Linked DNA regions of Caenorhabditis elegans. The protein of the gene in region 4 interacts with the protein of the main gene of each other region in a pairwise test. Each region holds a gene or a part of one and is shown on either strand. Other genes may lie near its edges. The genes, in order: unc-62, moe-3, dro-1 and lin-48.

Region 1 (5,970 bases), on a different chromosome or scaffold from region 4:
AGGCCAATTTTTTGACACTTTTTGGAACCATTGGTGGTGGTGGTCATAGGCATTTTTTCTAAGCAGTAGCCCAAGCTCATCAAAATCATTTTAATGGGTTTTATTAGTCAGCGGGGAAGACGGGGAAAAGGGGTGGAATTTGGGACATTTTCTTATCTTTTTTCAAATGATTCCCGAGAAAAAGTGATACTGTCGGTAAGATCGTAAAACTATTTGTGATTCTTGTGTTGGCTTCGGAAACTAAAACTAAAACTAATCGATGCAAGGAAAAATTTAAGAATGAGGGGCTTAATATAAGTACTTATATTTTGAAATATTCACTGGTGTTATTTTAACGATTTGCAAAAGTCGATAGTATTCCACCTCACTACCTCACTTTGAAAAGTTATATCACGGTTCAATTAGAAGATATAAATAAATAGTCAACTACAAAATTATAGAAAAAGAAATAATACGGATTTTGCCAGTTGACAATTTTTATATAGGATGAACGAAAACTGAGATATAAGCTGTCAAAGTTGGACGATGGGGTGCAACTGTTAGTCTTGCAGACCGTAGCTTCAATTTGGCAGCTCATTGTAATTTTCAGTTAAAACAAAAAGTTCTAAGCTGACAAAATATTTGTTTTTTCTAGAACTATAGTTTTAAAGTATTATATTCACTGATTTTCTAGAGATGAGCAGAGATACGACTTTTCGAGGTATTTGGGGTCAAGTTTTTCTATATTCTGAAGCTTGGGAAACTATATTGTAACTAACCAGCGCTTAAAACAAGGCGAACACCTAAAAATTGCAATTTTGAGATCTAGAAAGCGGGAAAAAAGCGACAGCGACGGCGCGGTGGGGGGCGCAATGGCTGATTGGAAACCCAAGAATGAGCTCGAGCCACCACCCAACACAACGATAAATTATAGAGGAGAAAAGGAAAAAGGGATGGCGCTCTTTCTGGTATCATGTCAAAGTCAGAAGAAGCAGAGGGGAAACGGAATGAAGGAGAAGAAGAAGAAGAAGTACCCTCTGCGCCATCGTCGTTGCCGACACACGGGGCCTTGCTGAATAAGATGAACGATGGTCGTGTCGGGATCGAAAACTCTTTCCACAACGGGGTGTCAGTCAGTCAGTCTGTCACACACACGATGATGGTCAGAGCTTGTCGCCCGCCCCTTCTTCTTCTTCTCTCGTTGATCGATTGATTAGTGTGCCGATTTGATGGGCCGGCGGTGGCGGCGTGTGTTCTTCTCTGCCCTGCGTGTGATGTCGATGATGATGGAACGAACGTAAATAATATGACAGACAGATGAATATCGAAAATGACAACTTCTCACACACTTCAAAACGGTTGTATGTCAATCTTGTCCGATCGTTGGGGGGAGGGTTGGTGGGGTGAATGTGGGCGGGGCTCCCTCTCTCTGACTCTCCCTGGTGGGGGAAAAATACGAGAAACCACCGAAAGAGAGAGAAACGGGCAACCGGGGGGCAGATCGACTCGCTTGCCTTCTCCTCTCTCTCTCAGTCTATTTTCCCCTGTTAGCCCCCCTCGAGAGAAGGAGTGAGTGAGAGAGAGAGCGATGCGCCGGGGCCCCGCCCTATTGCGCCAATAGGCACTCAATTCGGTACAGTAGACCCCGGGTGTGAGAGGAGGGTGAGAAGGCAAATTTGGAGAGGAGTAGAAGAAGTCAAACACGAAGAAAACGACGACGACGACGACGACGAAAAAATACATGCATTGCATTTTCCTCTTTTTTTTGTTTTAGCGAGACGAGGCAAAAAGTCAAGTGTGGGGGACCTCAGGTTTTCCAGCTAACACAAATTTACATTTTCTACCAAGTAGTACCCGATTCTTGGCAGCCAAATTCCATGTCGCCTATCAATTTTCCAATTTTCCACCCTCGATAAGAAACACATGATTAATGTGATTAAAAGAGATAAATCGGTCGGTGGGGGGGGGGGGGGGGGGGGGGGGAGCGATGATGAGACGAAGAAGAATGAGGAGAGAAAAGATAAAAGCGGCGGACAATTTGTGTGAAAATTATCAGGATTTTGTTATTGCTTTTATGCTGTTGATATTGATAATCGGATCATCGGCTGTTAAATTGCATATTATATCGTGGATGTGTGGAACTAGCTCTATGAACTTTAACTGGTAGGTTGTAAACCCAAAAAATATGTTCTTAGATTTTTATGGTAGTTGTTGAAGGTGGAGTAGCGCCAATGGGGAAATTGTTAAAAACCACTCCTATGGTCCCAAAATGACCGAATATCGTAATAAAACATCATCAAACAAACACATCAAACAAAAACATCAAAACAATCAAAAATTTTCTTAAATTTTTTTATTTGCGGTCAAAAAGTGACAATTACTCAGTTTTTGTTACTCATAATTTTGGAAGTCGACCAAAAAAAGTTTTTTCCTACATTTTTTACACTTTAAGCTTATTTTAATTATTCGTGTTGAAACATTGTAGGGGGCGAAACATGCGACATTGCTTTGGATTTCCTCGAAAGCTCATATTTTTCAAAAATTTGGCAATTTGGCAAAAGTTTGAACGGAAATTATGAAAAAGCTAAAATTTTGTGGGGTGTTTTATTATAATATTCGGTCGTTTTGGATCATTATAAGTGTATTTAGACAAAATTCCCACTGGCGCTATTCCACCTTTAATATACTTTTTTCATAATAAATTCTGAATTTTTAGTGGATTTCCGAATTTGAAATTTGTTTTCCTATGTCAAATGAAAAAAAATCTGTTGAATTTAGCTCCTGTGGCGAGACCAACTCAGAAAAAAAAACAATGTGTGCCTTTAATGTGATGTTTCAAATTTTTGCGAAATATTACAATATTTTTTCCCGGTTTCTTGAAATTTATATTTCAATGAAAAACCAATTTCGAAACTCTAAAATTTTTACAATTTTGATTTTATAGATTTTATCAATTTTCTGAAAGCATTTTATCGTAACAGAACTGAAAAATTACAGTTCATTTTGAACATTTTTTTCATTTTTTTTTCCGAAATTCCAAAAGTTTTGAAGTTTCAGACAATACAAAACCCTTCAAAGCTCGATTTATAAAATTATTTTTAATTCTAAAAATTGATTTTTGAATTTCTTAAACTACAATGTGAAGATCCTAAAGAATTTTTTAATCGGCAAAAATTTTTTCAATTTTCAGAAATCAATTTAATTAGGAAATTTAGTCGCAAATTAAAACAACAACCAATTCTTAAATTTTACCTCATTGTGATCCCGCTTCTCTCGTTTGATGCTCGACGTGTCCAAATCGTACGTCGAAATTCCATTTTGAACAGCCCAAGTGTCAGCGGACGCGTGAGCCCACACTTTTGAGTCGCCGCTCATGTTCCTGCAAGAGAGAAATATTAAATTTTGAAAAAGAAAACGTGAAACTCATTATCATTTATCAAAAGAGTCTGTGCGTGAGCAACAGCAGATGGGTCCTCGTGGCCCGAAAGCACAAAAAGCACACCAAAAAAAAAGGGATGGATTCGAAAAAAAAAATAATAAATAGGCTCCGCAAGAGATGAACCAGGAGGGCAAATTCAAGTTTACATGCTGCTGTCCTGTGTCCAATGTCCTCCGCATTGAAGATAAATTGCTTTTGTTCGTTTTTGCCCCCACTAGGTGCACAAAGCTGTTCTCATTATATTTTTGAAATTCGAACAAAAAAAATGTAAGTGCTAAGGAAAAATAAAGTGGAAAGAATGAAGATTGGAACTAGTTTCTTTTTATTTGATAAGGTTTATGTAATGTACGGTATGAGACTGAAAAAAAAGTTTCATTATACCGCCAGTTTCACCGGAAGTTTTTTGTCATGTGAATGAGCATGAGCTGAGGAAATGTGACTAGTTTGGAAATTAAAAAAAAATCTAAAAGTGAGTTCGGTTTCTGAAAGAAATTTGCTCCACCGAAAATGTGAGAAACTATTTTGACGGCCTATATCTCTGTTGCTTTTGATTGGATCAAAAAATGTTTAACTGGTAAAATATAGAAAAACATTTTGCGCATATTTTGTCAGTTAAAATTTTTCTGATAAAATCAAAGAGAGCTGAGATAGAAGCTGTTAAAGTGGAGCAAGACGGGTGCAAGCCTACTAAGGAAATTGCGGACAATGTCCTAATTTTTCAAATTCATTATCAGGAATCAAAAAAGCTCTACCAAACCTAGTCAGCTATTTCCAAGTTTCCACAAAAAATTAATTAATTAAACAAGATCCTTCTGAAACTACACTTTCCAGATTGTCAACTAAATGTGCACCTATGAATGTAATAAAATATCGCAACCTTTCGCCTCTTCCAGAGAGCACAGTCATTTTTTGACACATTTTCCTTATCAATAATCAGAGAGTAGAGACATAGAGATGCTAACATTAAAATACAAAAGTTTCAACATTTTTTCCCTTCAATGCACCACATCCCCCGTTTCCCTCATCTACTTATACTCCAGCTGCACTTTATTAACGTCGCCTTTTGTTCTAAGGGGATTAAGATTAGGATCATATGGAAGAGGAGGGGTAGGAGGTGTCAAGTGGGATAAAGTTTCAGACTGTTTTTCTTTGTTTGGTAACATGGTAGACACGGGAAGAAGATTAACCTATAGATTTCAGATTTCCTGGAAGGTAGCGTGTGGTGCTTTTGTTGCTTGAATTGACAGAATTGAGTTGTTTCAAAAATTCTAGAGTAATAGGCTCAGCTCAAAAGATTAATCAAAGGCCTAAATTAAAGGCCAAAATTATGAGGCTAACAAATTTTTAAACCAATTTTTTACAAGCTTTCCATTTTCAATATAGCTACTGTTTCTATGCAAAAGAGCTACTGCTCTATCCGCCTTGCCTCTTTTTGCTCCACTTTGACGGCTTATAACTCGATCCCATTAGGGCTTGTAAAAAAAATTTTCAACTGACAAAATTTGTGCAAATATTTTTCTACATTTTTACAGTAAAACATTTTTTAATAAGACTAAGGACAACTTAGATATAAGTCTCTAAAATAGAGTGAATAAAAAAAAGCTAATTTAGAGGCTAACAAAATTTGATTCATTTGTACATAGTTTTGCCATTTTGTTTCCCAATCTGATCTACTTTTTCTTCTCCATAGTCATACTCAAAAACCTAGGCAGATCTTTGCTCAACGAGGCTGACGTATAAACTGATAAGCTTACGGTGTGCTCTTTGCTACGTGCGCCGAACATTATTCGAAAAAAAAAGTTATCAGTGGTTTTTTCTTCCACGCATCGTATCGCAATCGATGCTCTTGCTCCCCTGCTCTTCGCTTCTATTTCGATTCTCTCGCCTGGCTCCCCAAATACCGTACCAGGGGATGTGTATGCCTACTACAGTAACCCGTGTGTCCACCACCATCACAACCACCGACCAGCCGGCCCGGTGTTGGTGGGGGGGGGGGGGGGGACACGAAACAAAATTTGAAAAACGGGCGGCCCGCGCGCACGCTCTTTTTCCCTCTCCTTTTAAATCGATACGTTTCGTCGTCGGTGGTGGTGGTGGTGGTGGTAGTGAGGGACGGAGGCAAAAAAAGGAAGGAGAATTGCGTGGACTTGCACCGGACAAGTCATACAAATGATTGATGGGGTCTATAGAAACCCGTCGAAAAAATTGGAGGAGGAGTGGGCACCGGGGCAAAAATGCTAACGAAACACAACAAAAAAAAAGATTTCGATTGAATCGTTGTTGGTGTGCCCCCCAGCCAGGTGCACCGCCCCCTATTTTACCTCATTATGTCAAGTTGTAAACGAGACGCCGCTTAATTGGTTTATGAGATGTATCTGTCAATTTTAAGAGGAGGCCGGCCCATTTTATGTGTGTATGATTTTTAGGTCAAGCCGGCTGGAGCAAAAAGTGACTAGACTGGCCTCTAAGCCTTAGGGGGGATCGGGGAACCGACAGAGAGCAGTGATTCGGAATGAAGCCGACCAATACAAAAACTATTTAAGAAACAATTA
Region 2 (8,699 bases), on a different chromosome or scaffold from region 4:
CATTGTTGTTTTCTTCAAAAGAAAAACTGAAAAATTACTTTTAAAAAATGAAAAAATGAGCTTGAAAAATCGTTCTCGTGTGCTGTATTCTTAGTTTTGACGAATTCTAAAAAAATATATTATCACCCAGACTTAAAATTTAATTCAAAATTTTAATTTTTGAGTCAGACACACTGTACCCGGTTTCGTAACGACAAATTCTTTTCAAATGCGAAAAGGCGAGCGCCTTTAAAGGTTACTGTAGTTTGAAACTCTTATTAGTCAAGCTTGAAATATAGTTTTTCTATTAAAAAAAATTATATATTTATTTAAAAGCTCAAATATAACAATAAAAACACAATAGATTTTGACAAAAATGATAAAAATCAAAAATCGAAGTTTTCCTCACGATTTGTTAAGATTTATTGTGTTCTTACCGTTATATTTGAGCTTTTAAATAAAAAAAATGAATATATTTTTTTAACAAAAAAAACTATAAAAAATCAACAAAAACTCAAAAATTGTTTTTTTTTTCAAAATTCTTGTTGATGCGGTTTTTTCATTGTTTTTCAAAAATTATTTTTAATTAAAAAACTCAAATATAACAAGAAAAAACATTAGGAGTTGACAAATCGTGGAAAAAACTATAAAAAGTCGATAAAAATTCTGCAACATTGAAATATTGAAACTACAGTACACTTTGAAGCGGCACACCTTTCCTCCGCGCTTCAAGAAAATATTTCGTGTCGAGACCGGATACCGTAATATTTTGCGCAGAAATAGCAGAATTTATAGCCCTAAATAATACTATTTCTTCAAAACCTTAAATTCGCACAAATTTCTGGATAAATTTTTGAATTCAAAAACAAAACAGTTTTTATTCAGGTTCTGCTCTACAACGTGACAAAAGACGTGATTCTCTACGGAGTGAAGTTGACTCAACAGACCTATTACGTAGTCTTGGCGATTGCTGCTCACATGCAAAATGGCTATCGACGATTCGCGTCAGGAGTGGACCGGCTCACGGACAAGTACAACAAGGTCCGCCAACGGATCGGAAAGTGAGCAGCTGTGCGGAGCATCTCGATCGAAAATACTCACTTATTCCTTCAAATTTTTTTTTTGCAAAAAGTCCCCGTTCAATTGTACATTTGCCTGTTTCAGAATTGTTCACACGACTTTCTAGATGCCTTTTCTTTTTGATTTTCGTAGTCAGTATGCATCAATTTCGTTTTTCCCGTCTCTTTTTTGCTCCATATTCCGGTTTTATTCCGTTTCTCCCTCCCAAAAAAAAAGAAAAGAACCAACCTCATCCAAAATTTTTAGAGAAAGAAGCTTAGGATTTTGCGCTTTTTGCAACGTGTATTATCCCTTGTGTGAAATAAAATTAAAACTTTATTTAGGGGGAGCAATAAAAATAATTAATATTAGGAGATAAAAAATTTTCAAAAAAAGAAGCGAAAAAAATATTAGTGAGATGTGTATCAGGTGGTCCCATTTTTATTATAAATTTAAAAATCTTTAAAAAAAAGGATTTAGGACCACTTGCTACTCAAATATTATTAGTAACTAATCGTTGAACAATACTCACAGACAAGGAAGACAAACAAATTTCAAATTAAAAAAAAACTGAAAAATGTCACCACAATTCAAGATGTTTAGCCATATCCTCTGCAAGATGGTCGAATCCTGGAATTGATGACATATTATCATCGTCTTGTTGGAAATTGGAAGGCACTGGAGGAAAGGCTGCTCTCCGTTTTGCTGAAAATTCGGAATTTTTTAATTTTAAATTGAAATTTGTGTTTTTTCCACGAAAAAAAAAACCATTATTGATCTTTCAAATTTGCGAGTGAAATATGACGCTTTGTGTCGGTGTTTGCACAGTATTCGGATTCTGTGGTTCACTGCACCTAGTACCTCGTATTTGACGCGCAAGTTTGAGAAATTCAAGCTCACAAGTTTTTTCAAGAAAAATTACAAATTTCACACAAAAATGGGGGAATAATTTATTACGGGAACACAGAATTCGGAGAATGCGTATTGCACAACATATTTGACGCGCAAAATATCTCGCAGCGAAAACTACAGTAATCCTTTAAATGACTACTGTAGCGCTCGATTTTCGAAATGAATTTCTTTTCAAAAATCTAGAGCCCTGCACAGCCTCCTGGAAATGACCCAACAAGGGGGCTTGCGCGTTTCTCGTGAGCGTGGGAAAATTTTACCGTTGAAAAGTGATTTCCTTCAGTTTTCACGGGTTTAAAATCGATTTCAAACTTTTTAATTACGTATCAATTGTAAAGCTAATTAAGGGCAAGGTGGAAAAAAAAAGATTTTTGATTTTGGTTCAAAAATAAAAGCGCTGATATAAAAAGAAAAAACCGCTAAAAATTGAGTTTTTCTCATATTTCGTATATTTTTCATCATTTTTCTAGTGGAATTTGATGTTCATTTGAAAAGTAATCTTCCACCAAAGCTTATGTTATGAAAAATATGAAGAAAAACAGTAAATTGAACGTTTTCGGAAATTTCTCAATTTTGCACGCGATGCACGAGAAGTGCGCCAACAAACCAAAATTTCCACTGGAGGAGACTGTGCCCTGTAAATCGACACAAGCGCTGCAGTAGTCATTTAGAGAATTACTGTAGTTTTCGCTACGAGATACTTTGCGCGTCAAATATGTTGCGCAATACGCATTCTCAGAATTTTGTGTTCCCGTAATATCCCATAAATCTAACCTGTCACAAAATGTGGTTGAATTCCCGTGGAGCCGTTGGGAAATGGCGTCTCAAATGGGCTCATCAAATTATTATTATTGATTGAAGACATTTCGGGTGGCAAGAAAAAGGACGAAGATTCCAACGGCCAGCTAGGGTGAGGACGCGTGGCTGAAAAAAAAATTTCAAGGAATTTATTGAAACTTGTTTTTTTTCTAAAAAATTATTTTAAAAAACTCACTTTCACAATTCATCTGAGCCATTGGAGAACGCATATGACTGGAGTCAGAACTCGATTTCATCGGTGAAGATTGCATTTCTAGACCGCCCATCGGTGGCGGCTGTTGATTATACGAGTTTCTCGTATTTCCTGTCATAATCTGTGATTCCACGTGATCCCGTAAATCTGCGAGTGCGTGGCGCTGCGAGACCTGAAAATTGGAGTTTTTGAATAATTACAGGAATTTGCGATTTTTGCGGCATAGGTACGGTACTTGGTCTCGACGCGAAATATTTTTGTTGGTGAAGCAAATATACAATAAGGTGTGCGCCTTTAAAGAATAGTGTAGTTTCAAAATCTAGTAAAAATTGTCGTGTCGAGACCGGGTACCGCAATTTTGGGCAAAAAATCCAAAATTTCTAGTCTAGATAATACATTTTAGTTTCAAAAGATAGCCGACTTGAATTTTCTAGGCCACCTCTCCATCACTAACCTCATAAAGCTTATCAGCTCTGATATATGCATTTGGCTGATTATCGGGATGAATAAAAAGACACCGTTTGCCATAGGGGCATAGTCCAGTGGTAGTGTACTTGTCACAAAGTTTCGTCTTGTACTTGTTGTTTTGTCGTGATTCCAGTCTGAAAATATTCAGGGTTTTTGCGCGTCAAATTTCAGGCAAAGCGGCAAATTGCAGGAGTTGAAATTTCCGGCAAATCGGTAAACTGCCGGAATTGAAATTTCCGGCAAATCGGCAAATTGCCGGAATAGAAATTCCGGCAAATCGATAAAATTCCGGAATTGAATTTTTCCGAAAATCGGCAAATTGCCGGAATTGAAATTTCCGGCAAATCGGCAAATTGTCCACCCCTGCGCCAAAAGTTATGCGCAAAAATTTTGAAAACTCACTTCGCCGGGCGCAGCTCTTCCTCTCCATGTGCAAATCGGCAATTTTCAGCAAAAGTGCATGTTTTCGACTCGAGCCATGCCTGACAAATGACCGTCTTGTAAGATTCGGGCTTTTGCATCCGCCGTTCGCCGCGAGGGGGGCGTCTGGAAAATGTAATTATTAGGAGAAACTCTAAAAATGGTTTTTTTTTGTGGAAATTTTCCACTACTTTGACACCTTACATCTTAGTTATTTTAAGCGCTATGAAAGCATTTTCAACTACAAAAATATTTATCACATTATCAGCTACATTAGTGCAGTTAAAAACTTTTTGATATCACAAAAAATAGTTTAGATACATGCGTTGAAACTTGGTACGTTATCTTTGAATTTTTTCAATGGTTTTTGATTTGGTTTTTTCACATTTTTTCCAAATCAAAAAGATTTTGAATTTCTTTTGGTTTAACAATTTGAATAATTAAAACTCACTGTGGAAACCCGTGATGTGGTGATATCGAATTCGCTACAAATGGCTGATCGACTGGATTTGAGGAGTATCTGAGTGCTCGCATCTGGTTCGTCTGGATTTGCTTGTTTCTGAAAAACAGTGTTTGGTGTTTAGGTTTCAAACATAGCTTCTTGCCCAAATTTGGCACAAAAAAGTTAACTTGGGCAACAGTTGGGCAAGACATTTAGGCCCAAAGTTTAACCGAAATTTGGCCCAATTCTGCTTTCGGCAATTTCGGCAACTGCCAAATTTGCCGATTGCAGAAAACTCCCGAAACCGGCAATCGTCAGAATTGCCGGTTTTCGGAAATCAGAACTGCCGGACCTTAAACATGCACTTTAATGAACTTTTTTTTTTTCAAGCTCAAAGTAATGTAATTTTTGAACCGGCTATTGTCAAAATTGCCAATTGCCGAAAATATCCAAAACCTGCAGTTTCCGATTGCCGAGAATTTCTAAAACTGGCAAATGCAGAAATTGCCAATATTGCCGATAATTTCTAAAACCGGCAATTGCACAGAATTGCCAAATGCCGAAAATTTCCAAAACCGGCAATTGCCGAAATTCCAAGTTAATTTTTTCGGGCAAAACTTGCGCAAGAAACTGGAGCCAAGCAACAAAATAAAACTAACTCTGCAATTTCCTTTCTCAATTGCTCATTCACCGCAATCAGGTTAGCAGTTTCAAAAAGCAACGAGTTCAACTGAGTAGTAGGACTCGGTGGCCCACTCTGCGATGATGATCCTTGACTATGACTAGGTGATGAAGCATGAACTCCCGATGAGAATACACCACTGTCAGCTGAACCAGTTGACATGGACGATGGTGGACGCTTGTCAGACTTTTCGAGATCTCTGGAAAATAAATAAGTTGTGGGTATGAAATAATCCAAAAAAGTTGGGATGGGGAGGGGAGGAAGTATCATTATTGCCAGTTTTTGGCGTTGTCACTGTTCTGTCCACTATATCTCGGCTGATAAAACCGTTCGAGTGATAACGAACAGGATATTTATTTATCTCTTCTGTTCACAAATAGTGCACTTAATCTCACTAGTTAGACTTATCAAGCTTTTTCAAAATTACAGCTTTAGCTGTAAAAAATGTGACACGTAAAATATAGTGCATCAATAATTTCAATTAAACCTTTTAACAAATTGCACAAAAACTGATTTAATATCAATTATGAAAATTTTATTTAAAATTTTGCTTTGACTTTTAAAATTAAAAATTTCTAAAAATTGCACATTTTCAAATTGCTCCAGCTTACACTTTTGAAGGGAATTTTTTGTGGTAATAAAATTATTAATTAGATATACATATTCTTGACAAGAATATATAGCCATGTCACAATGGAACACCAACTGAATAAGTTATGAACTTTTTTAAAACTTTTTTTTAATAAATGGAGGTTTCAACTAAACTTTTAAGGAAGCTTTAATATATATTTTAAAGTGTTTTCAGCAAGGATAATATTCAGAACAAATATTTTTGAAAGCTTTACGCGTTTGGAATTAAACAAAAAAAAACAAAGTCAAATTTTCTGTGTAGGCACAAAATCATACACTTTTTAATCAAGTTTTTAAGCATTTTTTTAGAACTTCAGATTTTCTGTCCCTATGCACTATGCATATAGGCATGTAGGCACAAAAAACCTACGTGCCTACTTCCCTACCTATTAACTAGACAAATTCTTCATCTATTTCTTATGTTTTCATATTTCTTTAATAATTAGTCGATATATATGTACAGAGGCGGCCAATTGCCGTTCGGCAATTTTTTTGTCGGCACATTTTTTTTGACGGAGATTTTCAATTCCGGTAATTTGCCGGTTTGTCGCTTGCCGGATATCAGATTTGCCGAAAATGTTTAAAGGGATTTTTTTATAAGACGAAAACACTTAAAACCTTGATTTTTTGATGCGTGCAATTTTGTCTATTAAAATTGAAATTCCGAAATTTCCAACAAAAAAACCGTGCAAAACCACAATTTGCCGGAAATTTTCGACAATTGCCGATTTGCCGGAATTTTTCATTTCCGGCAGAAATGTTTATTATTTCCGCGATTTTCTTTAGATATTTTCATAGAATTTGCTTACTTTTTAAAATAGTCGTAGTATTTTGCCGATTAAAATTTAAATTCTAAAATTTCCAAAAAGCTTTCAAAGCCGTTTTTCCGGCAAATTCGGCAAATTCAGCAATTCGCCGGTTTGCCGATTTGCCGGAAATTTGTATTTTAGCCTCGAAAATTCTAAAAGTATCGTCAAAAATCTCACCCTTTCACCTTGCTCATCGTGCGCCTTCCCTGACTTGATTAAATATGTAAAAAATCTGAAAAACGGGATGAATGTGTCGCGGTCAGCCAATACCCCTGAAAACTGTGAAATTCGTGAAAAACACGGCGGGCACAAAAATTTCAGGGTCAGTTGCGGATAAACGAGAATGAGAGAACAGTGAAAATGAGAGAAGATTAAACATAACTATGACACACAAAATATTTGATATTTGAAGAGGTTATGTACTTAGAGGGGAAGTTGAAATGAACTGAAATTTGAAAGTAAAAAACACGGTCTGAAAATAAGGCGAGAGATCGAGAGACGCAGAGAAGCGAAGAACCGGTCTCGAGAAATGACAATTCATGTGATGGTGATAAGAACAAAAAAGAATTGTGAGCAGTCTATTACACAAGATACGAGGGGTTCGACATGGACTTAACAGCTGATTTTTATTCATGTGTCCGCTAGTTCGGAGGGGGCATGTGATTGCGATCAGTTGATTGGAGATCATTGGATCAGGGGGTATATCAGTTAAAAGTAATAGAACAGGGAGAAACATGATTTTAAAATCCAGTATTTTCAAAATTCTGCGATGCTCCCTACAAAAACCCCAGTTGAAAGAACTTTAAGATGTTTAGGAGCCCTATAAAATATAAAATTACCCAGTTGCGGAGTTTTCTGCTTTTTGACACAAAAATAAATGCGATAGAATCAGGGCTGGGCGGCAATTGCGGTTCGGCAAATTGATTTGTCGACAAATTCGACAAATCGGCAAATTGCCGGTTTGCCGATTTACCGGAAATTTTCATTTTCGGCAAATTGCCGATTTGCCGTTTGCCGGATATCAGATTTGCCGGAAATGTCTAGAGGGATTATTTACAGGACGTAAACACTTAAAACTGTGCCATTTTGAATTTTTCCCGTTTTTTCTAGTTATTTTAACAGAATTTGCTTACTTATTGAAATAAATGTAGGAATATTCATAGGATGTGCTTAATTCGGCTGTCTGAAATTGAAGTTCTGAAATTTCCAAAAAAAAAAGGGCAAAAAATTTTTGGCAAATTCTGCAAATCGTCAATTTGCCGGTTTGCCGGAAATTTCCAATTTCGGCAATTTGCCGGTTTGCCGATTTGCCGGATCGTTTGCTGCCCACCCCTGGTACGGATTACGAAACAACTTGAAATTTGCAGTTACCGCACCTACAAGTGATTCGAAATTGTCTTGCCTGTTTTTGACACTATTTAAAACTCAGAAGCTTCAATTTTTTGGAAAATTTTGCAAACACATAAAATATCGAATAATTGTTCAAAATACATATCAGAATACTTGCGGGTACTGTGGCTGTGGTCGTGTAAAATATGCATTGTCTCTACAAAAATTTTTTGATGTTTTTGTGTCCAAAAATTCTAAAAAATGAGCTAGCGTGGCATTTTCTCCCAATATTTGTCATTAAAATTGAAAAAAAAATACATATAACTATATTTGCTTTGTCAGACATTAACTTGTATTTTAAATATTTAAAACAACTGAATCCAGATTGAAAACATGCACCAAAATTGTCGGTAAGTTGAAAATTGTCGGAATAAAATTCGACGAACATTTTTGAGAATTTTCAGTTTCTCCAAATCAAGTGAAAACTATATTTTTGCCTACCTCAAACCTACGCCTTATAAGACACAAGTTTTGAAGGTTTTGATCCAAACTAAAAACTATGGATCAGCTGTTCCTGAGCTCAAATTTGAAGCTAGAGCCTAAAAAGACACAATTGATTTGCAATGTAGGAACGCTTGGCACAAATTTAAATATTAGATGAAGCTCAGAAAAATGTGATTCTAAATTGTTAAGGGAAAATGAAGAAGCCAAACTGGAAGATTAGGCAATCGAAGGGGAAATGATTGAGAGAAAACTTGGAAGGGCGGGTAAGAACGGGCAGTTTGGAACTGCTTTTCTATTCCGATTGCGTAACAAATGGAACAGAAAAAGACAGAGAAAGAAAGAGAGAGAGGTAACATGTTTGCTGAGTGACCGAAAACGAAAGGATTCAGAGATGAAGACGCTAGCGAAAGGTGTGAGTGTAACATGCGTTTCCATTTCTTTCAGAAATCCACTGTA
Region 3 (4,244 bases), 9.6 Mb from region 4:
ATACAAAATGGTCTGCTTTAGACGGCGGATTTCTCGGCGACTGGAGCATCGGACGAGTGCAATGAAAGCTTGGCTTTCACAACCGAGCTGGTCTTCTTCTGGCAGCTCTCATGATCTTCGTAGCGGATCACATCGAACAGTGGCTTTGAGTGGTCCTTGGATGCGGCCATCAGCTTCTCCTTCAGCACAACTCTGAAATTCCAAAATTCAAGATAGAATTAAAAATAGACATGCATACCCAATCCTCATGTTGGTTTCATCATCGTTGCAATCCTTAGTCCAGACGCTGATCTTCGATCCTTTTCCTCTGACGTTGCACACCAACCCACAAATCGACTCCATGTCCTTTCCGAATTGCTCGCCGACCAAAGCCATGAGAATCTCCAGCCAAATAGCATCGACCATTTCGGGAGTCTTTCCCTTGTCAATGACGATGAGCCAGCGTCCTCCGTTCGAGTTTTCCGGAACCTCCCACATCGGCTGAATATCGTCACGGAAAACGTTGTAATCGCACAACGCGTTGAGGCCACTTGGTGGACGGATAGCATCGTAGAGAGCCCAGAACTCCGAGACGGTGTTGAAGGTGTACACCTTCTTCAGACGATCCTCCCAAGACTTGTTGCGCTCATCGTTCAAATACCACCACGTCCAGTTACGCTTCAGCGGATAAATGGGTGCCGTCGTTTGCTCCGTTTCAGTCATACCTGGAAGAACTCGATTAGTAAAATCAGTAAACAGAGAGAATAAATGAATGCAAATAAAAATGGGCACGTGGAACCAAAAAAGTGATGCAAAACGGCGAGAAACAGTTTTTTTGTGAATAATTTATAGTACTCAAACGATAATGAAAAAGGGAATGGCTCACCTTCTTTCTCCCCAGAGATTTTCAGCTTCTCAAATGCTATTTCAGAATCTGACATTTGCGCTTAAAATTTTCGCACCTCGACAACTGGCAAGGCAAAAACAGGACTGATCTGAGAAGCCGAGAACAACTGGGGAAAACGCCAACTAATCGTGCCCTAAATGACGTGCCATTGAAATATGGAGCGGGTCAGTAAAAAAATTCACGGGGAAAATAGGAAATGGTGGAATATAGTACAACAATTTTAAAAAGAGATTTAGAAATTATCGATGATGAATCAAGGTAAATACACAAATGAAGAAATAAAATGAGAACCCGTAGAAAAAAAAAGCGAAGAAAAACAATCTAGTTGTCGTAGTCATCGTCGGTTGGAGCCAAAGAGCCCTCTGATGGTCCTCCAAACATTTGTGCGTTTGCGGCTGCTACCGCCGCGGCTTGTGCTTGTTGGTGAGCAAGCTGCTGCTCAATTTCTTGTTGGCGTGCCTGTAAAATAAATATTAACATTGAGGAAATGAGTGTTTGTTTTATAAAAACAAAATTATTTTTGAAAACCTCAAAAAATTACCTTCTGAATTAATTCTTGTTGCATTTCGTACAATTTTTCCTCTGGAATACCACATTTTTCAAGACGAGAGTTCTTCCTTCGCAGCTTCTTCTCGGCTTCAACCTTGCAGGCATCGAGAACACTGTCGGCGGCCTCGAGATAATCTGGTGTGAATCCTAAATTCTGCAGTGCCTTCTGAACATGTTCGTGATATATTGTTTTTCTCTGATCCTGGCTCGCAATTCGTTGTGCTTCTCTCGCAATATGCTTCACGAACTCAACGCAGCAAGCATTGATCATATCTCTCGACTCGTTGGCGATTCGCATTTCAGGAACAACTTCTTTGATAATTTGGTTGATACCTTTCTGTGGAAGTCCGATTTCATTGTCCTCATCCATATCTGTGAAGAGTCTGAAAATTGTGTTGAAGCACTGCATTTTTAAGGGATCTAAAAGAGATATAAGGAATGAGAAATACATTATTAAAAGTTTAAAGATGAAATAAAATTAATATCAAACTGAGTACATTTATGCGAATATAAATATAATATTTTCGGAACAAATCTCACAAAATTCACAGAATTATCCAATTTTAGCATTGCTGAAGTCCATTTCAGGATGCTGTTTCATGAACTGTTGCAGCATATCATGCTTTTTCTTCTCATCAGACGTTGGAAGACCCATCTCCTTCTGCCTCTGATCATACATCATCTTTTCGACCATGGCACGTGTCTCTCCATCCAAGTCGCTCAATTTCGAGTTCTCTGGCTTCACTTCCTTAGTATTGATTGGAGGATCGGAATCAAGGAATCGATTCCACCATTCCATATCATTGATCTTCTCGAGAGTTAGGACAATCGCTTTCCCGTTTTCGATTACCCAGTTGCAATTTTCTACTTTAATGGCGTGAGGCAACTTTCCATCGACAATCGGAGCTTGATTCTTCAGGCCGACAGATACTGAAGTCTTCTCTATTTTGACGACAACGTCACGAGATTTGATAGCAAATCCAGCAGCAATTGGAATCTTCACCTCGAGTTCTTGGAGTGTTTGAGTCCATTGATATTTGGCAAGATCCGCACCATTTCCACTATTTGGTTTCATGAGCTTACTGTCCTCATCTTCGACTTCAGCGTCTTTCGATGTTTCTCCTTCGTTATCGACGAATTTTTCAAGATTTTCAACAGAATTTTTAGCCTGTTCCTTTTCAAACGCGGCCGCTTCCTCATCAGTGACTTCCACGACTTTCGCATTTCGGAACTCTTCCTCTTCCTTAGCTTTTTGTGCAGCTCTTCGTTCAGCAAGCTTCCTCTCCTGCTCTTCCTTCCGTTTCTTGGCTTCTTCAGCTTCCTTCATAGCCTTTCCACCGTGTTTATCGAATTTTTCGAGGAGAAGGGTCCGGGCTTGATCGACACCAGCGCCACTGTAGAAATCCGTCTTTCTGAAACAAAACATGTATTTATTAAGCACTTTGAAAAAATTTCTTACCTCGAAAGAAATTCAAATAGTACATCAAGCATTTCAGGCACTCCGCCGCTCAGCTGTTGGGCCATGGAGAGCAGCACCGAGTCGAATCGCTCATATTGAGACATTTTCTGAAATTTAAATATATTAATTAATAAAAACTACTTCCAAAACGAAGAAAAACATTAGGAAATCCGGAATTATTGAAAATAGAGCCTAAAATCAAGAAACATAGTTATTTCGCAATAATTACAGGACAAATTCTACTTAATCTAGTTAAAAACTTATTTTACAAACTAGAAAACCATTTATTTTGACAAATATCACTAGAAAAATTGAGTTATTTCGAAATTTCTGGTAAATCCTATTTTCGCCATGTTCCCATGGATACTGCAAGTGCCTGGGGAAAGCAGGTGGCTCATAATGCTCAATTATATTTCTGGGACAATGAGAATAGTTGAAAAATCAAAGAAAATCTGTGCGAAATCCCGCAAAATCGATAAATTAGGAGAGAAAATGTGTAAAATTGAAAATAAATTGCGAGCGCCGTTTTTTCTAGGCGCCTTGGCGCGGCGACTGGCGCAACTCTCGTGCTGACGCGAAACTCGATGCTACAGTAGTTTGATTTGAAATTTAAAAATTCAAATTTGAATTCAAAGTAATTTTCAGAAAAAAAAAGCAATAAGTTACCTAGTGCATTACTATTTCTCCCGTTAAAGAGAAAAACGGGTCTAATTGAAGAACAGATGGTGCTAATCAAAGAGAAAAATGCACACGCTTAGAAATTGGATTTTTCGAGACCTTTTCCATTTTGAAACTTTCTATTGATAATAAATCCAACTTAAATATTGATTAAGTTCACTTTTCCATTTACAAATTATTCCAAAAAAGACAGAAAAGCCATTACGTATGCTTAATTGCTTTTTTCTAATTAGACGTTCGACACTTCAGTACACGCTAGCATGGCTAATTAGATTGGAAACGAGGTCACCTCTCGTTTTTGTTTGTATGTCTGCGTTCATATTAGACTACGCATCGCGTTGAGAATCTAGTTAGAACACTATTTGTGTCTCCCTTTTTACGCGGCCTTTTTTTCTTTCTTGCAAAAAAATACGCATTTTATTTATGTTTAGTAGTTAACATAATTAAAATAGATGTTGACACACTTTTTTTAATAATAATTTAATAATAATTATTATTATTTTAAATACAGATAGAGTTTCAAATCAATTCACTAAATTTACCCTGTTTTATTGAAAAAAAAGCGGTGCGGCAGTGAGAGAGTATGTGGCGAAGAGACGGAGAGAAAGAGCATTCACTGCGAGACCTTGCGCGTCAAGTATGGCGAATTTCTCCATTTTCAAAACGTCTATG
Region 4 (5,645 bases):
GACTAGAGTTGTGCCCAAAGAATACGTAATGTGCACATTGTCTAAAAAGTACTTACTCGTTCAAAACTACATTTCTCCGTATTTGGAGGTGTGCTGTATCACCCTGAAAACTCATTCCATCCCGACCTTGCCAATTCCTCTCGCCAAACTGGCTGATCAACCAGTGATTCAAAAACGTGTCCCTCCGTCTTCTCATCTCTTCCTTACCGTCACGCTTCATAAATGCACCGTGCGCGCGCGCGCCGTCATCGTTGTCTTCAGAAGATCCCACAGTTTCAACACCTCTTTTGTGATGATATAGACGCAGACAGCGTGACGCCCTGATACGGTAGAATGCAAAAAAAAGAAGAGGAAAAAGGTAATCGTTCCGTCTCCTCTCTCAAAATCAAATATACAAACACAAGGGGAGGTCCTATACCGCTGATATTGCGGACCGACTGAAGCGACGCGGGTTTATGTGATACCGTACCCCTTCCTCACCGGTATACAACTGGTTGCATCTTCATTGTTGTGTTTTATTTTGTTTTGGAGAATTGAACAATTTCAGTTATTTCTACGAACTACGAAAATGAGATGAGTCTTATCGCAAAAAAATAAGTAAATTTATTTTCGCGACGAGACCCAAATTTGGGGTTTGTTGCGGGACCTCAATGCGATTTTTCATTAAATTGATATCTGTGTTCTTATCAATGAAAAAAGTTCTTGCGTTCTCAGCCGCCACTATTATCTCACCCTTATCACTTTTTTCCTGATAGATATCAAAAACGACTTTTATGACACTTTTCTCCCGTTACTTGTTAATTAATTTGATATATCGCTGGTATTTGAATTCAGTTTTTTGAACTTTATATTAAATTTGGAAATTTTTAATTGCCGGTAAAAGAGAGTACGGTAGTTGGAAAGTTTTTTTTTCGCTCGTGCCAGGACCCATGGCCGTAATTTTAGGAGAAAAATCACAAAAAGATTGAGAAAACTAGGCCACTCATTAAAAATAAGAATTTTAAGATTTACTGTAACTTAATTTAGTTTTTCTCGCAAAAATATGATAGCCACATTTTTGAGTTCATCGAAAGTTTCAGAGTATCATCTAAATTCCAAGAAAAAACCACTTCGGCACAGTAATACCTGCCTGCATCTAAGACAACCTTCGCCTGCCTTGTGCCTGAATACGTGCCTATTGCCTACCTTGCCTGCTCAGATACATAATGCCAAAGTTCATTCCAACAAGAAGAAGGCGCTAGGCGGCGGCTTGTAGGCATGTAGGCATGTAGACAGGAAAACGCGCCTTTGGAACTTGTTTTCTTTTTTTTTCAGTTTTTTTTTTTGAAAGTTCGTTCTCAAAAAAAAAGCAGAAAAAGAAGAAAACTTCGAAACCCCTTCCCTGAACGATTACGCAATAATCCCCCTCTCTTCCTTTTTCAAAACGGTCTTCATGTCTGCCTACCGTAATCCTCTTGTAGTCACGGCCAACCTGCCTTCTAATCGCCACAAGCTCATCCGTTGCTAAACGTTCCCCCATCTTGGCATTGGGCAACTGTTTCTTCTTCTGGTGCCATACACAATTGTTTTGTTGTTCCTCTCTTTCCAATTGATGCTTCTTCTTCTTCTCTCTAGAAACCGCTTCTCAAGTGCGCCAAGTGCTCATCCGTTTCACCAACACACAAAAGGGAAGAAGGGGGAACTGTAACCGTCTACTAGTTGCCTAATATACTTGTGTCATATATCCTTACAATTATATTAATATATCTACATGTAAGAAGAAGTTTCATGTCCCTTCTTGCATCATTTTTATATTTTCTGGCAATTTGCAGAAATTATTTTGGGGGATTTTTAAAAATTTTCAACAAAAATAAAAATAGTTTTTCAAGTGAACCAAATATTTATCTATGTTTCTAGCTCAAATTTTGAAACAATTCGATTAGGTAATTTTTCTCTCAGATATTTCAGTTTTCCAGCCAAAAACTGAAGATTTTTCTGTCTTACTGAAATTTCCTGTTATAAATGCAACTTTTTCAAAACTATATGCACAAAAAACACAAAAAAATATTTAAAAAAATACAAAATATTTTTTTCGGATTTTTTTTATTGTTGAACTAAAAATGGTTTTGGGAGAGTTTCGTGAAAATTACCCAACTTTTTTTTGTGGTTTAGGTCTAGGCTTAGACTTAAGCTTAGGCTTAAGATTAGGCTCAAGCTAGGGCTTAGGCTCAGGCTTTGCTTTAGGCTCAGTCTTCCAGCGTAGGCTTCAGCTTAGGCATAAGCTTTGGCTTAAGCCTAGGCTTCGGCTTGTGGGAACGCTCAATAGTTTTGTGTACCTCTCCCCTAAACCATCCCAGAAAAATCCTAAATTTCACTTTCGGTTTCATGATTATCCTCTCCCTACCGTGATTTTGTGCTCTCGGAGCCAACACCTCCATATTCCAATTATTCCCGACATCCGAGACATTGTACCTATTATTATCTGGCGCCGAGTATTTGAAATAATTGCCGGATTGGATTTCTTCGGTGATAACACACCCCGCCCCGACTCGGACGCTTCCGCTTGTTGTTCCTTGTTTGGAAAAAATTCCACAAAATCATCACAAAAATTTTCAGCTCTGCTCAATTTCAGATGGATTCACGGGTATGGCTGCCGCTGATTGGAGCGCATTTGCTGCCTCGAGACATTAGTGTTATTACTCAGGTATTTGAGTCTTGATTTCAAAAAAAAAACTTGAAAGTGTGAATTCAGATGATTGCAAATAATAATAATACATCAATTTCGAGAAGTAGCACCAATAGCAGCAAACCCGAAGAGAAGAATTCGAAAAAGGTAGGAATGGAAAGTTGGTGGCCTAGAAAATTAGAAATCTCGGCCATCTTGAAATTTTTATCTAATATTTTTTGTTCTGAAACCGCCTGAAATTATCTTTTTCGTTTTGAACCGCGTAGCCTAGATAGACACATTGGCAGGCACAATACTTATCTACGATGAAAGGAACATTTTCAGTTTCTCATTGAACGATTTCTCGATGATGATCCTTCACCACCAGCATCGATTCTTTCGCCATCACCCAAGGCAGCCATACCCAGTGTAAGACGCTAATCAAGGAAAATTCTAAATTTTTTTTTTCTGATTTTCAGCCAATTATAAATCCAGCAGTGGAGTTTGTAAACGGAGGCTACGGAGTCAAAAACCCCCTGGCTCCGTTGATCAGCTCCTTCGAAACCACCTCAATTCCGTGTTCAACAGTATCTCCTTCATCCCTCATCTCCTCCAGCAAAGACGAGTTCCAAGATTCATTAACCTGTCACATTTGCGGCAAAAAGTTCGGTTTACAACGTCTTCTGAACCGTCACATAAAGTGTCATAGTGACCTGAAACGGTATCTATGCACATTTTGTGGAAAGGGTTTCAACGATACATTCGACTTAAAAAGGCATACCAGAACACATACAGGTACCTCTCAACACTTTAAAGTACTCCTCTACCTCTGCCACCAATTCATAACCACTAATTTGTCGTTCTTCTTACCCTCCGTTGACTTACGGTTGGAAGACAATTGTCTGCGTCTGTTTGTCTAGCACACTGCTTTTTTGTGGGGTGTCATTGAATCCATTGTAGCGAAGCGTAATATTCCACACATTTTCACCGCAAATTGTCGACGATTCTAACTTGATTTACGGTGGAAAATCAAGGGGACCACATTAAAATTGAAACCGACAACACGTTCTGCTCATTTTAATGTATTTCTAAAAAGTTATTTGAATAGAAAATTGTTTAATAATAAATTCAAAAATAAGCAGACAAAGGCAGGCGTGCCTATCTACCTATGACCTTCTGTATTCCAGGCGTCCGTCCCTACAAATGTGAGCAATGCGAGAAGTCGTTCACTCAACGATGCTCCTTGGAATCCCATTTACGGAAAGTTCACGGTGTCACTCATCAATATGCCTACAAAGAGCGTCGTAGTAAGGTGAGTTGACAGAAAGGTATGCATGTCTGCCTACGCCTGCGTGCCTACTCTCAAAGTAGACTCAAACAATAGACAAAATAGAAATAGAAAATAGGCATGTAGGCATGTAGACATGTAGGCATGTAGACATGTAGGCATGTAGGCATGAAGGTACGTAGGCATGTAGGCATGTAGGCATGTAGGCATGTAGGCATGTAGGCATGTAGGCATGTAGGCATGTAGGCATGTAGGCATGTAGGCATGTAGGCATGTAGGCATGTAGGCATCTAGGCATCTAGGCATCTAGGCACACACCGACCGACAATAACTTCTACATTTCCAGGTATTCGTCTGTGAAGATTGTGGTTATACGGACGAAAAGTTCGAAGTCTATCTATCTCACATCAAGGTAGTACACCCCTTCTCGGCCGCCTACCTTCGGTTTACACAGCTTCAGAAAAAGAACTCATCGATGAAACCCGAACAACTTTCCAAGATCTCCCTATAATACTCACCTTTTTTCCTATTTAATTTTTAATTTTTTTTAGAAATTAGCTATTTTCCAAAAATCCTCCAAATCATCGTCATTTCCCCATTTGTTGGTGATCCTTTTTGCACCCCCGTGACTGATTTATTAACCCCAATGACACTATTTTCTCTCCGTCCAAGACCCTTTTCACCCATTTCTGTCTTCTAGATGATTCCATGATGTATTTAACTTATACCAATGACAACAAATTTTCCCAAAAAATGACACATTTTATTGAAATAAAAAAGTTTCTCCTTTTTTTATTCTTAAAAAATGTGTTGAAATCAATGACTTCCATTGTGACGTGGAATTTCTACGACGTATTTTGAGAGCCACTCGGCAATAAATCCAATAGGGTCGGCAGGACGGCGAAGTAGAACCTGAAAAAAAATAAATGCTTAAAATTGCAGCGGACATTTAACGGGTTCAGCATAATCTCTGAAGCGTGCGCGCGAAGTGTCGGCCGCTTTACTAAAGCCTTATGATGTCGGCTGCCAAACACGTTTTCTAGTTGGCACTTAAAATTTGTCAGTTTCTCGAGTAGTCGACATCTCATGGTTTTGTTATAACCCTAATCCTTATTTCCCGCTAGTGAGGTGCCGGCAGTTATACTAAGATGTTTTGAAATTTTGCTGTCAATAAAAAAGAAAGCGGCCGACATCTCCCTGCTTCAAATCCTAGCCCTAACCCATGAAGAGTCGGCTGCTGTACATGAGTGCTGACTTAAAATTTACTGGCGGCCATAAAAATAGAAGCGCCCGACGTCGGCCGGTTATGCTGAACACCTAATGGCTGATCCGTGAGGAGTCGGCTGCTTTGAAAAGTGTCATTCGTACTGGCAAAGAACGTGAAAGCGGCCGACATATCCCGGGTCACCTCTAAATCGTCGGCTGCTATGGCCGACACAACTACGAAACACGGGTCCAGCCCGCGAAACGTCAGCCGCTACTAATTTTACAATACCTACCTCTGCCAGCGCTTTAGTCAAAACAGGCGCCACCGTCCTTGCGAGATATACTCCATTCTCCGACGTTGGCAAATCAATCTTCCCTCTGAACGCCTTCTCAAACCGATGCCTTTCAATACTTTCATCCTCATCATCCAACATACGTGCACTATCAATGAATGACCCTTCACTTCCTGAATCAGGTGTAGCTGGAGAATCAATCAATGGCCCATCC

Evidence for each region.
Region 1: the proteins of lin-48 (region 4) and unc-62 interact in a two-hybrid assay, tested with the Caenorhabditis elegans proteins (one large-scale study listed by BioGRID).
Region 2: the proteins of lin-48 (region 4) and moe-3 interact in a two-hybrid assay, tested with the Caenorhabditis elegans proteins (one large-scale study listed by BioGRID).
Region 3: the proteins of lin-48 (region 4) and dro-1 interact in a two-hybrid assay, tested with the Caenorhabditis elegans proteins (one large-scale study listed by BioGRID).

Annotation. Positions count from the first base shown.
Region 1 is NC_003283.11:4,494,851-4,500,820, reverse strand, and holds the start of unc-62 (Homeobox protein unc-62), read right to left. Parts: upstream 3,359-5,970; 5' UTR 3,355-3,358; coding exon 3,232-3,354; intron 1,492-3,231; exon of another isoform or gene 1,026-1,491; coding exon of another isoform or gene 1,014-1,025; intron 1-1,013. UniProt on the Caenorhabditis elegans protein: Acts redundantly with ceh-20 and ceh-40 to perform overlapping roles during embryogenesis.
Region 2 is NC_003280.10:13,159,052-13,167,750, forward strand, and holds moe-3 (CCCH-type zinc finger protein moe-3), read right to left. Parts: upstream 6,683-8,699; 5' UTR 6,605-6,682; coding exon 6,588-6,604; intron 5,171-6,587; coding exon 4,949-5,170; intron 4,407-4,948; coding exon 4,299-4,406; intron 3,974-4,298; coding exon 3,830-3,973; intron 3,562-3,829; coding exon 3,414-3,561; intron 3,132-3,413; coding exon 2,942-3,131; intron 2,872-2,941; coding exon 2,722-2,871; intron 1,744-2,721; coding exon 1,619-1,743; 3' UTR 1,364-1,618; downstream 1-1,363. Other genes in the region: F32A11.1 (Mitochondrial import inner membrane translocase subunit Tim21), read left to right, coding at 865-1,044. UniProt on the Caenorhabditis elegans protein: Zinc-finger protein that may play a role in oocyte maturation and fertility.
Region 3 is NC_003281.10:13,340,284-13,344,527, reverse strand, and holds dro-1 (Protein Dr1), read right to left. Parts: upstream 1,845-4,244; coding exon 1,428-1,844; intron 1,346-1,427; coding exon 1,208-1,345; 3' UTR 921-1,207; coding exon of another isoform or gene 866-920; 3' UTR 816-865; downstream 1-815. Other genes in the region: ife-1 (eIF-4F 25 kDa subunit), read right to left, coding at 18-192, 239-704, 866-920; nud-1 (Nuclear migration protein nudC), read right to left, coding at 1,989-2,847, 2,895-2,998.
Region 4 is NC_003281.10:3,742,850-3,748,494, forward strand, and holds lin-48 (Transcription factor ovo-like homolog lin-48), read left to right. Parts: upstream 1-2,588; 5' UTR 2,589-2,611; coding exon 2,612-2,683; intron 2,684-2,731; coding exon 2,732-2,812; intron 2,813-2,989; coding exon 2,990-3,073; intron 3,074-3,123; coding exon 3,124-3,439; intron 3,440-3,831; coding exon 3,832-3,956; intron 3,957-4,278; coding exon 4,279-4,443; 3' UTR 4,444-4,723; downstream 4,724-5,645. Other genes in the region: arcp-1 (ANK_REP_REGION domain-containing protein), read right to left, coding at 4,749-4,844, 5,432-5,645. UniProt on the Caenorhabditis elegans protein: Transcription factor. Involved in development of the hindgut, the male tail, and the excretory duct cell. Involved in modulating function of excretory duct cells. Plays a role in left/right patterning of cell fates in the hindgut.